4 linked regions of the Tribolium castaneum genome follow. The protein of the gene in region 2 purifies or fractionates together with the protein of the main gene of each other region. This does not show direct contact. Links are inferred from orthologs where the notes say so. Each region holds a gene or a part of one and is shown on either strand. Other genes may lie near its edges.

Evidence for each region. Proteins that work in one complex are often made in the same cells at the same time.
Region 1: the proteins of AP-2mu (region 2) and serine/threonine-protein phosphatase 6 regulatory ankyrin repeat subunit A purify together in Homo sapiens (affinity purification with mass spectrometry; 3 studies listed by BioGRID and IntAct, counting the BioPlex papers as one, with this or other methods). This does not show direct contact. The link is inferred for Tribolium castaneum from reciprocal best matches to the Homo sapiens genes AP2M1 and ANKRD28.
Region 3: the proteins of AP-2mu (region 2) and Reps purify together in Homo sapiens (affinity purification with mass spectrometry; 3 studies listed by BioGRID and IntAct, counting the BioPlex papers as one, with this or other methods). This does not show direct contact. The link is inferred for Tribolium castaneum from reciprocal best matches to the Homo sapiens genes AP2M1 and REPS1.
Region 4: the proteins of AP-2mu (region 2) and AP-1gamma purify together in Homo sapiens (affinity purification with mass spectrometry; 3 studies listed by BioGRID and IntAct, counting the BioPlex papers as one, with this or other methods). This does not show direct contact. The link is inferred for Tribolium castaneum from reciprocal best matches to the Homo sapiens genes AP2M1 and AP1G1.

Annotation. Positions count from the first base shown.
Region 1 is NC_087401.1:12,715,591-12,719,678, forward strand, and holds the start of serine/threonine-protein phosphatase 6 regulatory ankyrin repeat subunit A, read right to left. Parts: upstream 2,801-4,088; 5' UTR 2,653-2,800; coding exon 2,626-2,652; intron 2,580-2,625; coding exon 1,357-2,579; intron 1-1,356. Other genes in the region: spindle assembly abnormal protein 6 homolog, read right to left, coding at 4,084-4,088. UniProt on the Homo sapiens protein: Regulatory subunit of protein phosphatase 6 (PP6) that may be involved in the recognition of phosphoprotein substrates. Involved in the PP6-mediated dephosphorylation of NFKBIE opposing its degradation in response to TNF-alpha.
Region 2 is NC_087395.1:22,141,200-22,145,201, forward strand, and holds AP-2mu (AP-2 complex subunit mu), read right to left. Parts: upstream 2,557-4,002; 5' UTR 2,457-2,556; intron 2,362-2,456; 5' UTR 2,334-2,361; coding exon 2,157-2,333; intron 2,013-2,156; coding exon 1,850-2,012; intron 1,802-1,849; coding exon 1,583-1,801; intron 1,537-1,582; coding exon 1,026-1,536; intron 972-1,025; coding exon 725-971; 3' UTR 501-724; downstream 1-500. Other genes in the region: peroxisomal membrane protein PEX14, read left to right, coding at 2,940-3,005, 3,054-3,356, 3,402-3,829, 3,878-3,959.
Region 3 is NC_087399.1:2,782,916-2,786,889, reverse strand, and holds Reps (ralBP1-associated Eps domain-containing protein 1), read right to left. Parts: upstream 2,801-3,974; 5' UTR 2,748-2,800; coding exon 2,598-2,747; intron 2,546-2,597; coding exon 2,131-2,545; intron 1,657-2,130; coding exon 401-1,656; 3' UTR 130-400; downstream 1-129. UniProt on the Homo sapiens protein: May coordinate the cellular actions of activated EGF receptors and Ral-GTPases.
Region 4 is NC_087395.1:15,676,440-15,680,504, forward strand, and holds the start of AP-1gamma (AP-1 complex subunit gamma-1), read right to left. Parts: upstream 2,801-4,065; 5' UTR 2,714-2,800; coding exon 2,658-2,713; intron 2,640-2,657; exon of another isoform or gene 2,136-2,639; coding exon of another isoform or gene 2,116-2,135; intron 2,064-2,115; coding exon 2,002-2,063; intron 1,957-2,001; coding exon 1,626-1,956; intron 1,580-1,625; coding exon 1,341-1,579; intron 1,294-1,340; coding exon 1,217-1,293; intron 1-1,216. Other genes in the region: Arfrp1 (ADP-ribosylation factor-related protein 1), read right to left, coding at 2,845-2,935, 2,980-3,151, 3,196-3,277, 3,321-3,491, 3,536-3,628; leukocyte surface antigen CD53, read left to right, coding at 4,010-4,065. UniProt on the Homo sapiens protein: Subunit of clathrin-associated adaptor protein complex 1 that plays a role in protein sorting in the late-Golgi/trans-Golgi network (TGN) and/or endosomes.

The DNA.
Region 1 (4,088 bases), on a different chromosome or scaffold from region 2:
AAATTCTCCTTGACTTCCTTTGACTGGGAAAAGAGGGAAGGGAAGACAGAAAAACATAAAAAAATAGTAAATAAAAAAAGACCGGAATGACAACAGCAGTGGGATTTGAGAAAGAAGATGAAGGAAGGAAGAGTAGAGAATAGCGATATGCAAACCAAGAATACAAAAAAATAAGAAAAAAGATTCTATAACCTATGTTCAAAAATGCTCTCTGATTTACTTTGACTGAGAGAACCGGGAAAGGAGGACAGTAAATAGAAAAAAAAATAAAAAAGACAGGAGGAATAACAGAAGTGGGAATTAAAAAAGAAGAGGGAAGGAAGAGGAAGGAAGAAAGGGTAGAGAACAACAATACGCAAACCAAGAACATAAGATATAAGAAAAAAGTTTCTACAGACCTATGCCCAGAAATGATTCCTGAATTTCTTTGGCTGAGAGAACATAGAAAGAAAGAGGGTAAATAGAGAAAAAAATAAGTAAAAAAGACAGGAGGGATAACAGAAATGGGATTTAACAAAGATGAGAGAAGGAAGAGCCGACTACAGCGATACATAAACCAAGAACAGGAAAGATAAAAGTCTGATAGAGAATTGAACATGGAAATATAAAGAAAAAATTAAAAAGATCAACAAAAAATAAGTGAGGGTAGGAAGTAACCTATAGACGAAAGAAAAGAGAAAAACAGCAAATCAGAAGAAAAAACCCGTTTTTGTATAAAATAGTGCGTCGTACAGATAATAACAAAAACAACATTTTGTAAAGAAAATTACCCAATAAATCTAAAGCTGCCACAAAAATTTACAAAAAGTTTCTTCCAAAACAAAATTTTACGCCTCTTGAAAAAGGACCCTTGTCCGCAATCTTCAGGAGGCTTTACCCCTCTCAAGAATATTTCAGTTCTTAACAAAAAATGGCAATAACGTATTTGTATTCTTTGGAATAATATAAAGCACAAATTCAGAGTTTCTGTATAAGAAAAGAATTCTCTGTTAAACAGAATCCCAACAACAAATTTAAAGCTAAAAGAATTCGAAGAGAAAAATAATTTTGATAATAACATTTGTTGCTTAAGATTAGAAACAGTCTATTTGTTTTTTTTTCCTTTTCTTTTTTCTCATTTTCACATAAAGAATCTCCATAGCATCATCCTCCATAGTATAATAATTTTAATTTAATTTTTTAATCAGACTCGTCAAATCTTGAAGTTTTCTTTTCTCGATATTTTTTATTTAATTTTCATATTTTATGTATTCGTTAATTATATTTAAAATTTTTACCTTTTGAAATACATATTAATAATTACTCGTATTACTCGTAAGTTAAAATCAATCCATTATTTTTTTCGACTATTCTTACCCTTTATACGCTGCGCAATGAGTTGGCGTTTTCCCCGAATCATCCACAGCGTTTAAATCCACCCCAGCTTGCAGTAACTTCCTGCAACACTCTACATAACCGGCCAAACAGCACATATGAAGGGGCTGCCTCCCTTCGTAGCCCCTCTGTGAGGGATTAGCCCCATAAGACAACAATGTATTGGTCAACAAATCGTGCCCATACCTCGCCGCAATATGCAAGGGGGTACAATCATTCTTATCGGGACAATCAATCGTCGCCCCCTTGTCAATCAAAATCTTACTCCTCGTAAACCTCCCATGTATTGCCGTCATATGTAGCGGAGTCCTACCATCGAGACTCTGCCTATTAATATCAACCTTTTGCGTCAATAACAACATCATGCAATCAACCCCATTCGTGCTAACCGCAGCGATATGCAGGGGCGTCTGCCCCCGATAATTCACCGCTTCGATATCAGCCCCCGAGTTGATCAACTCCTGGCAGACCAAATGGTGTCCGTTGAGACACGCAATATGCAAGGGGGTGTTCCCGAAGACATTCTGCGCGTTCACGTCAGCCCCGTGACTGATCAAAAGGCGGCACACGGCGTCTGTGCCCCCGGCCGCCGCCACATGCAAGGGGGTGTACTGGTTCCTGTCTTTAGCGTTAATCTCAGCTTTGTATTTTAACAACAGCTCGATTATGCTCAAGCTGCCCACCTGCACCGCCCGGTGCAGGGGGCGGCAGTCCTTCTTGTCGTACGCGTTGACAATACAGCCCCCCGAAATGAGGAGTTCCACGCAATCGGCCATTTCGCTGTAGGCGGCGAGGTGCAGGGCCGTGCGCCCCCCTCTGTCGGTGACGTTGGGGTTGGGCACGTGGTTGAGCAACTGCTCGATGCATTTGTACGCCCCGTTGGCCGCCGCCACGTGCAGGGGCGTCTGCCAGAGCTTGTCTCGCGCGTTGACGTCGGCGTTATTGTTCAACAGAATGGACACTGTCTCGCTTGAGCGGATGTAGCAGGCTTGGTGGAGCGGCGTCAGCCACTTGGTGTCTTTCGCGTTGACTCGGGCCCCGTTCGAGAGCAAGACGGAGGCGATTGCGGCGTCGCCGGTGAACGCGGCCGCGTGCAGAGGAGTGCGCTTTTTGCTATCAAGGCAGTTTACGTCCTGTTTCGATTTAATCAGTTCTTTGTATTTCTCGGGCTCGCAGCCCGCGAAGATGGCCTTGACGATGGGGGGCTGACAACATGGTTAACATAACCTCACTTGGGGGGACTTCGCTTACCTGTTCCTCCAACTGGTACAGTCCCATTGTTAGTTACTTGCAACTTAAGGCGAAACATGAAATAAGGGGGAAGTGGTTAAACCATTGCGGAATAAATTAAAATTATCTACGTAAACTTAAATGTCAAAATAATGTCAGACGTCAAATGGTTGGTGGGACTGTACTGGGGTAAAATATTAACAAATTAATTAATTTTTCTGCAATTATTGTTTAAATTAAACTGCTTGCTTAATGTGGTTTTGTTCCAAAAATTTCATCAAACAGTAACAAGTTGGTCGATTAAAAGTAACCACCACTTTTTAGTTTTTTTTTTAGAATAATGTCCAATATTCATTCAAAATTCATTAGTGGTTTAGATTTTCCATCAGTTGGGCCTTTTTAAATACCTCAGATAATTAAAACATTCACAAACATTCAAATTGTTTAGTGTTTTTTGCAACTTGCACTGTCATGTTGGTACGTGATATTGTAATCATCCGCCGATTGTGCGCCGCGTCTGTTTTGTGATTCTAGAAAAATTTGAATTCAAAAGTTGTGTAAGAGATTTAGGTTTGTTTTTAAAGCGTTAATAATCGCTGTTAGTTTGTGTGTGAATAATTATTATTGACTATTGTGGCAGTGTAAGTGAATATGACCATAATATGACCGTCTCCTGGAAATTTGAAGACGCCAGGATGCCGAACATGTTACAACAATCCTCAGGTAAATGTCCTGTATATTTTTATTTGTTAATTAACGAAACTTTAAACCTAAACACTTGACCGGCTCAAAATGCGAAATAAAAAACGTAAAACTTTCAATTTTGTGGCGTACTACTTGTCAGCGCGCAATATCGTCGTAAGTTTTATTTTACCAATTAATTACTCGCGAAATAATCGTGTACAACTCTAATTACAAACACACAATACAGTTTTATTTTCGCTGTAATGGTATCTGAAAATCCAGCTATATAAACATATATTGCATCCTTTGCTTCAATTTTGTAAAAGCATGATCAAAGCATGGCCAACTAATCAAATGTAAGTTAGCGGTGGCAAAAGATGGCTTTGAAATCAAGAAAAACAGTGTGGCCAACATGAAGCTGAACAAAACAAATCTTAATGTTAACTTCAAATTATGAAAAAATTAAAGTCGACAAAATGAGCACTTTACTAATAGAAAACGGTTCAGTAAAAAAATTGTGCAAACTCAATATCTCCAAAACTATAAATTGTGGAAGAAAAATGATGACATATTTGGAATCCTCAGACAATTTTACGCCAAAAAGGCGCACTTTTGATATTGTCCTCTTGTTGATTTTTTTATTGGGATATCATATTGACTTAGTTTTATTGAGATTATTATAGTACCAAAAATAGATAATTAACGAGGTACTAAGTACTTTCAATTAATTTAATTTATTACCACACATTTGTAACATTTTTTATTTGTATCAAAAATTAATAACAAAATACAGTACTACG
Region 2 (4,002 bases):
GATTAGGTACTTGGAACCAACCTGGTGATTCTAGAAAGACGGTTGAAAGAGGGACTGCCAGAAGTTCCGGTCACCGCATGCTTTCCATTTTTTAACTTTGAGTTTGAGTATAACTCAAACAAAATAAGTATTCGTTCCTCGTATGCGTGACAGTTAACGCTACCACACGCTTTTTATTTCTAGCGCAAATGCTGGAGTTAATGAATTTATTCTTTACTTAATTTCCAAACTGCATAATAATTAATTGGGAGCCCAAGAGTCCTGATTATCAGTGATTGTTTTTTCTCAGTCAAGTATTCGTGATTCGTTTTTACCTACTTACCTCATCTTCTAATAAGAATAAATAATGAAACAAAAAAAATCAACTTCGTCGAATGTAAACACAAGGTATGTTCTAATCCGATTTTTTTTGGTTTTGCGACAAATGAGACACCAACTTATTCGCTACAATTTATTTCCAAGCTTATGTAACATTACACTTCACAAATATACATGGTTATACCTCATCTACAGATAACACAGTGAAATTGTTTCACATAAAATTATTGAGAGCATACTTTTGCATAACACTTCTATTCCAACATCAAGCTTGCCTTGAGTATTTGAGAGCAAGAAATAATATTCGATCCGACATGATGTAAACCATCGATAAAAAAAGCAACTAACTACTAAATTAGATAACACAAAATAAACATAATTGAAATAAAATGTTGTTCCTCAAAATTTAGCATCGAGTTTCGTAAAGTCCGCTCCTTCCGATATACCGCACCCATTTAATAACATCATGATCCGAGTAATTCAATTTCGGCTCGAAAACCTTCAAGTATCGTACTTTAAAACCGGACGGTGCGAACGGTACTTCGAAATTCATAGAAATCGGCGGTCTTGTCCACTTCTTCTTCGTGTCGGTCTCCAGAAGCTCGATTTCGGCCGATAATTGCGTCTCCTTCATTCCAGCCATACGTTTGATCCTTGGGGAAAAACAGAATACAAATAAGTGAATCAATCGATTGTCACTAACTTACTTCCAAACAATCGCATTTTCCGATGCTTTGTATTTCGCCTTTCCTTTCAAACAAATCAATTGAACTCCCGAAGTGTTCAACGGAGTTGGAATTTTAACTTCGATTTTTTGCCCAAGAAGCGACGGCTTGAAGTTGCTTTTCAGCACCACCTTGACCTCCATTTTGGTGCGACCGACTTCACGCACGAGGGGAATTACCCGAAATGGCAACGATATGTCTTTAGTTGTACGATATCTCATCAATTCGAATTCACCGTCAGGTGGAATAAAGCTAATGGAATGTTCGGTTTCGAATTTACTTAATTTCACGCATTGGTGGAACTGGCAATCGTCAATTACAACGACTGGTTTGCCAGACCGGGTCTGATCGGAATCAGACGTCGACCCTAAGCCCCCTTTGCCTTTGGCTTCCATCACAATCTTGTCGTTAATCCCGAACTTGCATTCGGGCATTCCCGACAAATACGACTTCATCACGACTTTACCGGCCACGTGGGCCGAAAGAACCTGGCCTAAAGTTTTTTATGAAAACAAATTCAGGAAAAAAAATTATAAAACCTTGAGGCGACATAAGTAGGTTAACATATTCCAAAACATCCAAAAACAACTCGTTTCGACGATACTTGATACCCTCACGCCTCCAACCAATCTGACCAGTAACCTGTGACGTAATCTGAGCTTGTTCTTCCTTAGTGGCCGATTTGATCCCTTGTTGGGTTATGAACGTTTTCAAAACGCCGGTATCGGTGTTTTGAGGGTAACCAAAGTCCAGGATTTCTACAATTTTCATGTAATGACCAAATCAATGCAACTGAACGATTTTACCGTCTAGTAATTCATAAATAAGAACGAAATTATTTTTAATATTCTCTTCAGAGATTTTCCCAAAATACGACTGCATGACTTCGATAATCTTCAACAAGAACTCAAAAACCATGGCGGCGTTGACATTTTGCTTTGTTACGGCGGCAATCCAAATATTAGCCCTCTGGAAATCAAAAAACACAATTTCGACCGAGACTAGACTCATTTGATACAATTTTGTGCAAAATTCGCAAAACAAGCAACAAAAAGGTTGTGAAAAAGTTGAAATCGCACCAGTTTTTGTCCAATTTTCAAAACCAAAATGTACCTTAATGTGGAAAAAGGACGTTCGTGCTATGTTTGTGACCGGAGAGCGGACTTGTTGTCGGGCATGTATAACATTAACCCGAAACGCATCGACCGCATTTCTGCCGATATCATCCCTGTAAACTCGGGAAATGAGGACTTCGCCCTTGTGGTTGTACACGAACAACCCCCCGATCATTCTGCCGGCTCAGCTCTCGCCTAATGACCTAAAACCAGGTGTAATCACTACAAATGCAGTTTTATTCACGCCGACTGAAATCGGCCAAAAATTGGACAGTTTGAGGGAAAACTGGTTATTTACCGAATTGTGAAGTCATTAGAGGCTTTTTACGCACACACTTTTGTGATTTAACGGAATTATTAGTTAAAGCCGAACGGTTTTTATTTTACTTGGCCATCATACACCCACTGACAACTTGTCACTGCGATAATCCAAAGAGTGTTTGGTTTCATAATGCGCTCGATAACGCTTCCATGTTAGCAAAAACACAAAAATTATTATTATCGCAATTATCTAATATTATTGACTAATGCTTAAAGGTTTCTACAATAAAATCGCAATTTTTTTTTGAAAAAAAGTCGTCTTTTGACTAAATTTAAATAGTGACTTTCGCTTTGTCTCCAGGAATTTGATTTGACAGCGTCCCAATGACATTTGTTTTTGTTTAACCTTGGAATTTGAGATTGAAAATTAAAAGTTTGCAGAAAAACAAGTGTGGTGTCTTCCGAACTCGCGTTATCACTTCCATGTATCAATTTTAAGTAATTAGGTTAGTGTAAAACCATGTCTGATCAACTGTCCTCACTTGAGGAAAATCGCCCTGAGACTCCCCCAGTTCGGGAAGATTTGGTAAGTTGTTTAGGTTAAATTGCCCCATTTATCGATTGCTAACTGTAGGTGAACACGGCTATAAAATTCCTGGAGAACCCCAACGTGCTCAAAACATCGCTAGGAGAACAACAAAGGTTTTTGAAACGGAAGGGTTTAACCGATGAGGAGATCAGACAGGCGTGCGAGAAATCGGGGGCTTACAAATACCACGAACAAAGAAATCGGACGCCGCCTCTGCCCCCAAGTTCCCTAATTCCGTACCCAAACAGTGCAACGGTCCAAATTAGTTTATTTGATAAGGTTAAAGAAGTTGTACATAATGTGGCCATTTTTAGTTTCGTAGCGTACGTCGTGTACAAATTTTACATGGTGCGTGTTTCCCGTGGTTAAAAGCCGCTATACCATTTTTTGCAGAAATTTATAGCGCCGTTTTTCTTCGGGAAAAAGAAGAAAAGTGTAGAGGAGTCGATAGATGAATTAGACAAGAGTTTTAAGCAATCTGTGAATGACTTAAAAAACAATTTACTTAGTGTCAAAGTAGAAGTAGATAAAATTAGTCAAGGGGCTGAGAGCAGCACGCAGCGGCAATTATCAGACTTGAAATCTGAAATTGCGACAGTCAAAGGCCTGCTCCTGAGCCGGAATCAATTTCCGCCGGTTTCCAAAAGCTCAGTAGTCCGTCCGTCGATACCTGCGTGGCAGAAGACTAGCATAAGTCAGGACTCCGACCCCGACTCAGACCCTGAGAGAAAAGCCGAGGAACTGATGGAAGTTGGGTCAGGATCAGGGTCTTCGGAACATGAACATGCAGCAAAAAATAGTGATTCTAGTCTAGATATAATGCAAGTGGTTTGATTTTTTCCGGACGGGTTTTATTGATTTTATTGCAGATCTTTCTCATCCAAAGATAGTGATTTTAGAAGACACAAATCCAAAGATGTTGACGATGATGACGACGACGATAAAGATTAATCTTCCAAAAACGAGGCCATTTAAAGTAGGAAACACTTGGTTA
Region 3 (3,974 bases), on a different chromosome or scaffold from region 2:
TGTATTTTTTGCAAAAGAAAGAAACTTGCTTCAGAGACCAAGGAAACCGTGGTATTAAGGGATTAGGTTATTTTTTATCATTCGGAAATAAAGTGTAATGCAGAAAATGCGATTTTCCTTAAAACCTAATAATTTTAAAGTATTTATTTAATCTTAAAATACAGTCTTCCTATAGCTACACGAAAAAATATAAGACTTTGCTGCAATAGAGCCATATATAATATAAACAACCTAAATCTGACCAACATATAGATTCTTTCAAATATGATTTGATAACGTCATTAAAAAAATATTCTTTCACTCAATGATAAACATAATTGAACAATTTAGGCAGTTTATGGCACTGTCGGCCTTAATAATACCTGGAGATTCAACTTAAATAGCATTTGATTCATCTCAACTATCCCAGACTTAATTGTTTTTCTAATCTCAACTTTAGCGTCATTTTCTCTTCCCGAATATCGGCCAGTTCTTGACTCAACTCTTGACAAATCCTCAACAGCACCGTATTCTCCTCCTGCAACATTTGAAACAACTCCCACTTGGCTTTCTCGTCTTGCCCGCCTTCTTGATTCTTGGCCGGTTTTCGATAAACCTCAAACGCCCCGTGTTTTCTTGGCAATTCAGTAAACCTCGCAAAAATCTTCTTTCTCTCCGCTTCATACAAATCACCCGGAAAAATCCCCTCGTCCACATTTTCATACTTCTCGAAACTATCAAAGTTGGCAAAGGCGTCCCCTTCCGACTTCTGATTGGTCAGCTTCTTCGATTGGATATTGGGACTGACTCTGGGCGGGATCGTGGGCGGGGCTCCCAACTTGCTCAACCGGTTCAAATCAAGCGACGAGCTCCGACCGTGGCTTTTGAACGGTCTGGGCGGAGGCGGGGGCGGTTTTTCCTTCTTAGGCGGGGGAAAAACCGGGAGACTGACCGGCCCTTCATCCCCCGTTTGCGTGGTGGGGGGCGGAGGGATCGCCCCAGGGCCCGGTATGCTGATTTTTTTCGGCTGCGGCCGCTGGATGGCGCTATTATCGGTGAATTTCTTCGGACTGTGCGCTTCCGCATTGTCGACGGAGTCTTCGCCCGGGGGCGCCATGGGGCACTCTGGCGTGATTCGAAGCGGGACTGGGTGTAAGATTTTCGAGTCTTTATCGAGTGTGATTTTCTGGAAATCGAAGTTGACGGGTTTGGGGCCGGGGGAACTAACGGAGCTGGTGGGGCTGTCGACGAATTTCGTCCACTCTTTGGCGGTGTCTTTCGTTTGGGGGGAGAGCATGGGCTCGGTCTCGGGGCTCACGGACAGGGGCGTTTCGTTGCCGGGGATGAGGGTGGGCGGCAGGACGTCGGGGAGTTCGATGTGGTTGCGGCGCAAGACGACTAGATGCATCGCAGTGTTGAACTCCTGGAGGCTGAGGGCGCCGTCTTTGGTCACGTCGGCCAGCTGCCAGATTTTGCGGAGCTCGTGGACTGGAAGGCGCGATTTTTCGAAAAACATGCGGGCGACGGGACCGGCGAGTAAGGCGTTGGTGTCGGGCTGGAGGGAGCGGAATTGTTTCGTGTAGTAGTCGCGCTGTTCGGGGTTGATCGTCCAGATCTCGGGGCTCACTTCCGTGTCCTCCTCGCTGCTGTGCCGATCGCTCGACTCCTCCTCCGTCCCTAAACAAGGGAAATAAAAAAAATATTGCTAATAGTGTAAGACCTTTGTAGAAAAAAACTCACAATTATCTGCGTAATGAATTAAATGAAAATTGATAAAACAACAACTTGTATCACTGGATGTAGAACATACTCAAAAGCAATCAAATTTACGACTTTCCGAGTCGTTAATTCTTTAATTATGTTTCCGAATTGTTTGTTTATTGACCAAAAATAATGTGTACCACGCGTTGAAATATGTCGCAAGCGTCACTACATTAATTAAACAAAATTTATTAAGAGCCACCATTTTTGGAAAAGTGAACGTAATGTCAACAATTTCAAAATGAATTGATGAATGCAAATGCCGTCACACGACGCATTAATAACTCAATAGCTAGTCAATTCGGCGACACCTGCCTGTTTACTAAACAAAAATCCGTTGATTTATTGTTTTAACGAAACAATGCTTCATTATTTCATTCCACGACTCACCCAAGAGCTGTCTTTGTTCTTCGGAGACCAGCCCCTGCCAGGCCCCCCCGATGGCCCAGCTCCTGTCCTGCACACTATTCGTGGGCGTGGGGCTATCAGAGGCGGTGCTGGAAATTTCGGGCGACCCATTCCTAACTATACTAAGCGTATCACTATCGACTTCCGAGTCGGTGCTGTTCGCATCGACTTGTTCAACATAATTGGCATCGTTTCTCAGTTCGATTAAATCAGGAACTTGTGAATCACTCTCCAAATTATTCCAAGTAAACCTGGGCAAAGGCAACTCCAAATTGGAAGTGACTACGTCGGCATTTAACGGCATGTTGGCCTGATAGGCGGCGACTAATTTCAAAGCGGAAAAAAATTGCTTCCTAGACAAACTGGTCGTGGTTTGGCCCCAACAGATCTCTGAAATCTGACAGGAGAAATGTCAGAATGTGAGGTTAGAGAGTGAGAAAACCACTCACTTGGGATATGATGTCTTCGGGCACGTTGCCCGACTTGATTAATTCGACGGTTTTGGTCAAGGAGGCGCTCCCGGATTTTTCCTCGTCACAACAAAGAAAAACGTCGGAAAAATATCGTTGTAAAGTTTCTGACAGCTGTAACTCCTCCATTTTTGACAGCTGATGGAGCCAGGCAGGTAGACCAACCTTCGCCTTATCACTCGGGAATGTCTCCAACATAAATAATTCACCAAAAAAGTATTTAGATAATGAGGAAGAGATAAGAGACACAATAGACCAGATTACAACCATCAGTGTATAACAAATTTATGTAAAAAATGTACTGCTTAAATAAATGGCTCCAATTTCGGAAATTTTTGCCTGTGTTCTCGGTACCAACTGTGCCAGAAAGTAGCGACACTAGCGACCAAAGTGACCTAACATTTATGAATTTTCAAAAACAAATGTTCAAAAATCTAAACTATTTATAATAATGTTTGGTCTTATGTGGAAATTCTTATTCATCTGTGTTATGTTTTTTTGTCACAATTTTTCTTTTAATTTAATTGCATTATAATAAAATTGTTTGGGCGCATATTTTTTTTGCAGTCCCCGCGGGCCTACAGCAGGAAAACACCTCGCTGAGATAATAATAGTCGTTTTTCACCGTCAATTTCATAACCCGACCGCTCGGAGCGGTGCATGGACTAGATTTTTATATTAATTTATTTGCCGTCGTCGATTTAATTTAAAAGAAAAAATGCCAGAGTCGACTCGTTAAAGGCAAGTTCTGTCAGTTCTTGTCGAAAGTTCTTCGCGGACGGTTTCAGAACAACAAAAATAAGTGACCCTAAGAGGAAACCTGACCCTAACCGAGACAAAAGCGCGCTTATTTATCATTTAGGTCAGGGCCGTACTTGCGATTATGATTTTTCATTTACCTTGATCTTAACAAATGTTAGGTGTGCTGTAAGTGGTAATTGGTTTTGTGATTTTGTCGTGTCGGTAAGAAATATGAACGAGAGCGACATGCAACTGGCTAGGGCCCTTGTGGCCGATGAAAAACTCAATTCGGCTAATAGCACGCCGGGGACGAGTCCGACGCCGCTGAAGAAGACGGTGGTGGGTAAAGCTATGGAAAAACTCAACACTTTTCGGTAATTATTGTTGAATTCAAAATTTTAATAACTTGTGGTTGTTGCGGAAAGATTTTGGAGGACTAGGACTGAGGGGGCTTGTTAAGTACAAGCCCGGGTAGCTCAGTCGGTAGAGCATTGGACTTTTAATCCAAGGGTCCAGGGTTCAAGTCCCTGCTCGGGCGGCCAAATTTTTTTCTTTTTTCTAGTCGTGTATTTTTACAATATTTACTAATTTTTCCCGAAATAGTATTTATATCCG
Region 4 (4,065 bases), about 6.5 Mb from region 2:
AACAATAAATTTTAAAAAATCACTAAATTTGTTAAGAAATACTATTATAATAATAATAAGTGAAGCGTGCATCTTTAGTGAGATTTCGCTAAACCCAAACGAAAAAATATCTAAATGAGATAATGGCATAACTTTTGCTTTTTTCCTGAGTTTGAATATTTTTCTCTACAAGAACAGCAATTATTTCATGAAAATAAAGCGAGACATTGCGTTACTTCTTGGTTTCTTCAAACGTTGACTTGTGTTCTGTCCATGTGACCATAAAAAAATATTTAAATTGAATTAACAAAAACACAGTTTAAAAACCTGACTAACCAAATGTTTAAACGTTTAAAACTTTTAAAAACTTCAGAAAAATTTGTGTTGTTTTTTCAAAACACCTTTAATACCTAATACGCTGTCTGTACCTTTGCAGTAATTATCTGATTGTGTTTTTGTTAATTACGGTTTATGCTTTTTCGCACAATTTGTTCAGTTTTATTATTCACTTAATCACTTGTCAGTTGTTGTTCCAAATCAGTTGTATAAAATCAGATTTTAAAAAAAATCAATCATTTTATTTAATACCACTTTTTCGCATCGAGATCTAAAGGCAAATTTTAAACGAAAAAATTATTTTGGTAAGAGGATTAAGAATTGTTTTGGACGTTACAGCAGTTATTATTATTGTATGTTTTTTTCGTAAAATAATTCTAAACAGAGCCGAAAATTGAGTACTTTATTGCGTTGAACATGACATTCAGTGTTGGTGTCTTCTACGTTTCGTCGAAAATACGAGGAAACCGCCAGTTGGATCGGTTACTATTTTATCTATTTAAACGATGTTTTAACACTAATGTAGCGCATCCTTTTACAACTGGTTAAACTGATAAGATTAACATATTTTACATATTCAACCGCATTTGCATTATGTATTTTTTTAATTTCATTTAACGAATGATTTGAATTGAATAAATGCACTGTTTATTGGGATAAACAATCATTGCGAGAAGTTTTAATCATGTACAGAACTTATAAGGCAGACAGTGGAGAAAGATTGACCTCATTTACCGACAATATTTTATAGTGACCCGATATAAAAAAAATGTCAATCGAAACAAAAATCAATGATAAATCGTTTCTTCTTTATCATTTGAGAACCAACTTTCGTCTGTTTAATTTTTGCTTTATTATTATTATTATTTTTATTTTTATTATTTATTATTTAATGACTTACTTTTTTGAAGTGGTTTAAGGTGTCTGGGCTATTCTCGCACATTTCCGTAATGAGCGTAACCCCCGTGATTAGCACACCTGAAAAAATTAATCAAAAACCCAACTTTGAGTAAAAAAAAGCGCACCATGGTTTTTCTCAGATAGTAGACTCCTGGTGGCTGGTAAAAATATCTCCATGAGTTCAGGCACACGTTTAATAATTCGGAAAGCGCACAGAGCTGCTTTTTTCCTAATATAAGCGTTAGGCGACTTCATTAGCCGCTCCACTTCCCCCGCAAGATCACGTGCCATTTCTGGCGAAGCAATCGCCCCTAACGTGCACAGCGCCAACCCCACAACAAACTGAGTCGTGGAATTCAGGTCACTGAAAACAAATCATTACCCCGTTTCCCAAACCAGAAAAAACCCACTTTTTGAGACAGTTCGTGATCAGCAAATGCACGTCCTGCCGCTCGTCCAGGAGCAGCATCGCCCCCAAGTACCCAATCCGCTTATCCGTAAACCGCGAACTCGCGATCAGCTTCAGGCACTCCAGCTGCCCGAAATGGGCCGGGTAGCCCAGCATGTGGATGTAGAGCAGCTTGGCGATGTTGCGACACCGCCACACGGAGTCCTCCTCGCGGAACGTCGACCTGATGTAGGCGCACTCCTTGTTCACGACGCTGCGCTCCTCGGCGGCCGTCCTAGCCGCCCGGATTTGCCTGATCAGGTCCCGCAGCCGCATGGGGGTGGGCATTCGCACTGAAACGAGACGTTAGGGGGGCGCAGCCAATTTGGGGCAGTTACCTCGCTCGATGGCCTCGTTGACCGCCTGCTTGATTGTGGCCATGTTAAAGGCCGGATTGAACCTGAAACGAGTGGCTTAGGCACGGTTCGGCCAACGTGGGGGTTGTTATTTACCCGTGCTCTGAGGCATTCATCTTTAGCACAGCGACACACAAAACGTTAATCGAGGAGCAAACAACACATAAACATGGGGCGTTTTCGGGGAAAACGCACGTTCAGGGGAGTTATTTACAATGTTCACCTGTAATTTTCACACCTCACTTTCTTTGACAGATGCCGGGAAATTGGGAAAATGGGCGCAAAACGAACCGATTTCGCACTCACCGCTAACACAAACTCGGTCTAAATTAAAAAAGCGATTTAAGAACGGTTTTTTCGGTGTTAGACCATCTCACTGCAACTTTTTTGACAAGTAGACATTTGCAATATGGCCGGCTTGTGACGTCACACCTGTCGACGTCTCAAATAACCCTAATAAAGGATTTAAGACTCAAATTAACTGATTCATTAAAACGGAATTTAATTAATCATTTATTGGTGTTTTCCCCGTGTGACTGCGTCGGTACATGACGACACAAAACAGAAATGCCCCCACAATGACAAGCGGTACGGCCCCACAAAAGCTGCTCATTTTTCCAAAAAACGGAAGCTTTTACCTTCGGTTCAACTCTGGGGGTAAAACGCTCCACTCGCTCTCGTAGTACGGGTACATTTCGCCCCACGCCTTGACCAGTACCGTAAACACCTGCTAAGAGAGTGATAACTAGAGATAAGACCCCGCACAGTTATTTTATCTATTTATTAGGTTTGTTGATTTACAGATTAGGAATAGTGTCGTAAAAATCAATTTTCTTCGTGGTTGCGTGCCGGTCGTATGAAACTGTTGCGCTTGATGCAGTCCACCAGCCACTTAATGCCCTCGTCGACGCCGTCGCTGCAAAAACAACTGCACTCAGGTCGCAAAAACGCGCTTTTTACCCCGTCAAGGCAGAGATGGGCATCACCATGCAGTCGCGCTTGCCTATCAAATGGGCGTTCTTGTTAAATATGGGCTTAACCTCCCGCACTCCCATGCACTCAGGGATATCCTGCTTATTTGCCAAAACGAGCAACGGAACGCCACGCAGGTTCTCATTGGCTATCATCTTATCTGAAACGCCATAATCACAAAAGAAGGGCTAAGTTGCCACGCACCGAAAGTTTCCTTCGAGTCGTCGATCCTGTCCCTGTCCGACGAGTCCACGATGTAAATAATCGCGTGCGACTCTGCGTAATACTAAAACCAGCCCCAATCAGTCTATAACTAGCCCCCAACTCACTTTGTCCCACAGCGACTGGAGCTCGCTCTGGCCGCCCAAGTCCCAGAAGTTCAGTCTTATGCCGGCAATCTCGATTTTACCAATGTTTAGGCCCACGGTCGTGGTTATTTTGCTGGGGTGAATCCCCGTGTAATTTTTCGTAAGTTTGGTTTTTGCCGCCTCCAGGTAAGTCTAGAATTGGGCGTTAGGTTGGCAGCACTTCGGGGCATATTTACCGTTTTTCCGGCGTTGTCGAGGCCGAGGATCAGGACACAATACTCGTCTTTTTGCACCAGGTATTTGTAAAAGCCGTGCAAAAGGGTGTACATGGTTTCTGGTTGCAATTAAGCCCATTAATGAGCAAATCAAAACAAAACCGTCGCCATTTTGACACCTTGCATTGTTGTGACAGGGGCGCCAACTGCAGTTTGAATGTTGGGTCACCTAACAATAGGGGCAAGATGACCCATGGCTATTTATAGAAATTACAATAAAATTGATGTATTGGAGCGATTTTCATGCAATGAGGCTGATTTCTGACCTTAGCGATGCACTCCCTTGTCATGTCTTGCTGATTTAGGGCTCGGGCTGCGATTAATTTCACTTTAAGTGGGTCCGCTCCTGTCCCATTCTTCGCGTAGCTGTTCGCTTGAAACTTACCATGGCTTGTGGCAGCTTAAATTGCTAATTTTCTGTGTTATTTGTTCGTGATGGCTTCACTCAAAGTGAAAGAATTGTTGTGTTTGCTGTACTCAGCCTTGTTATT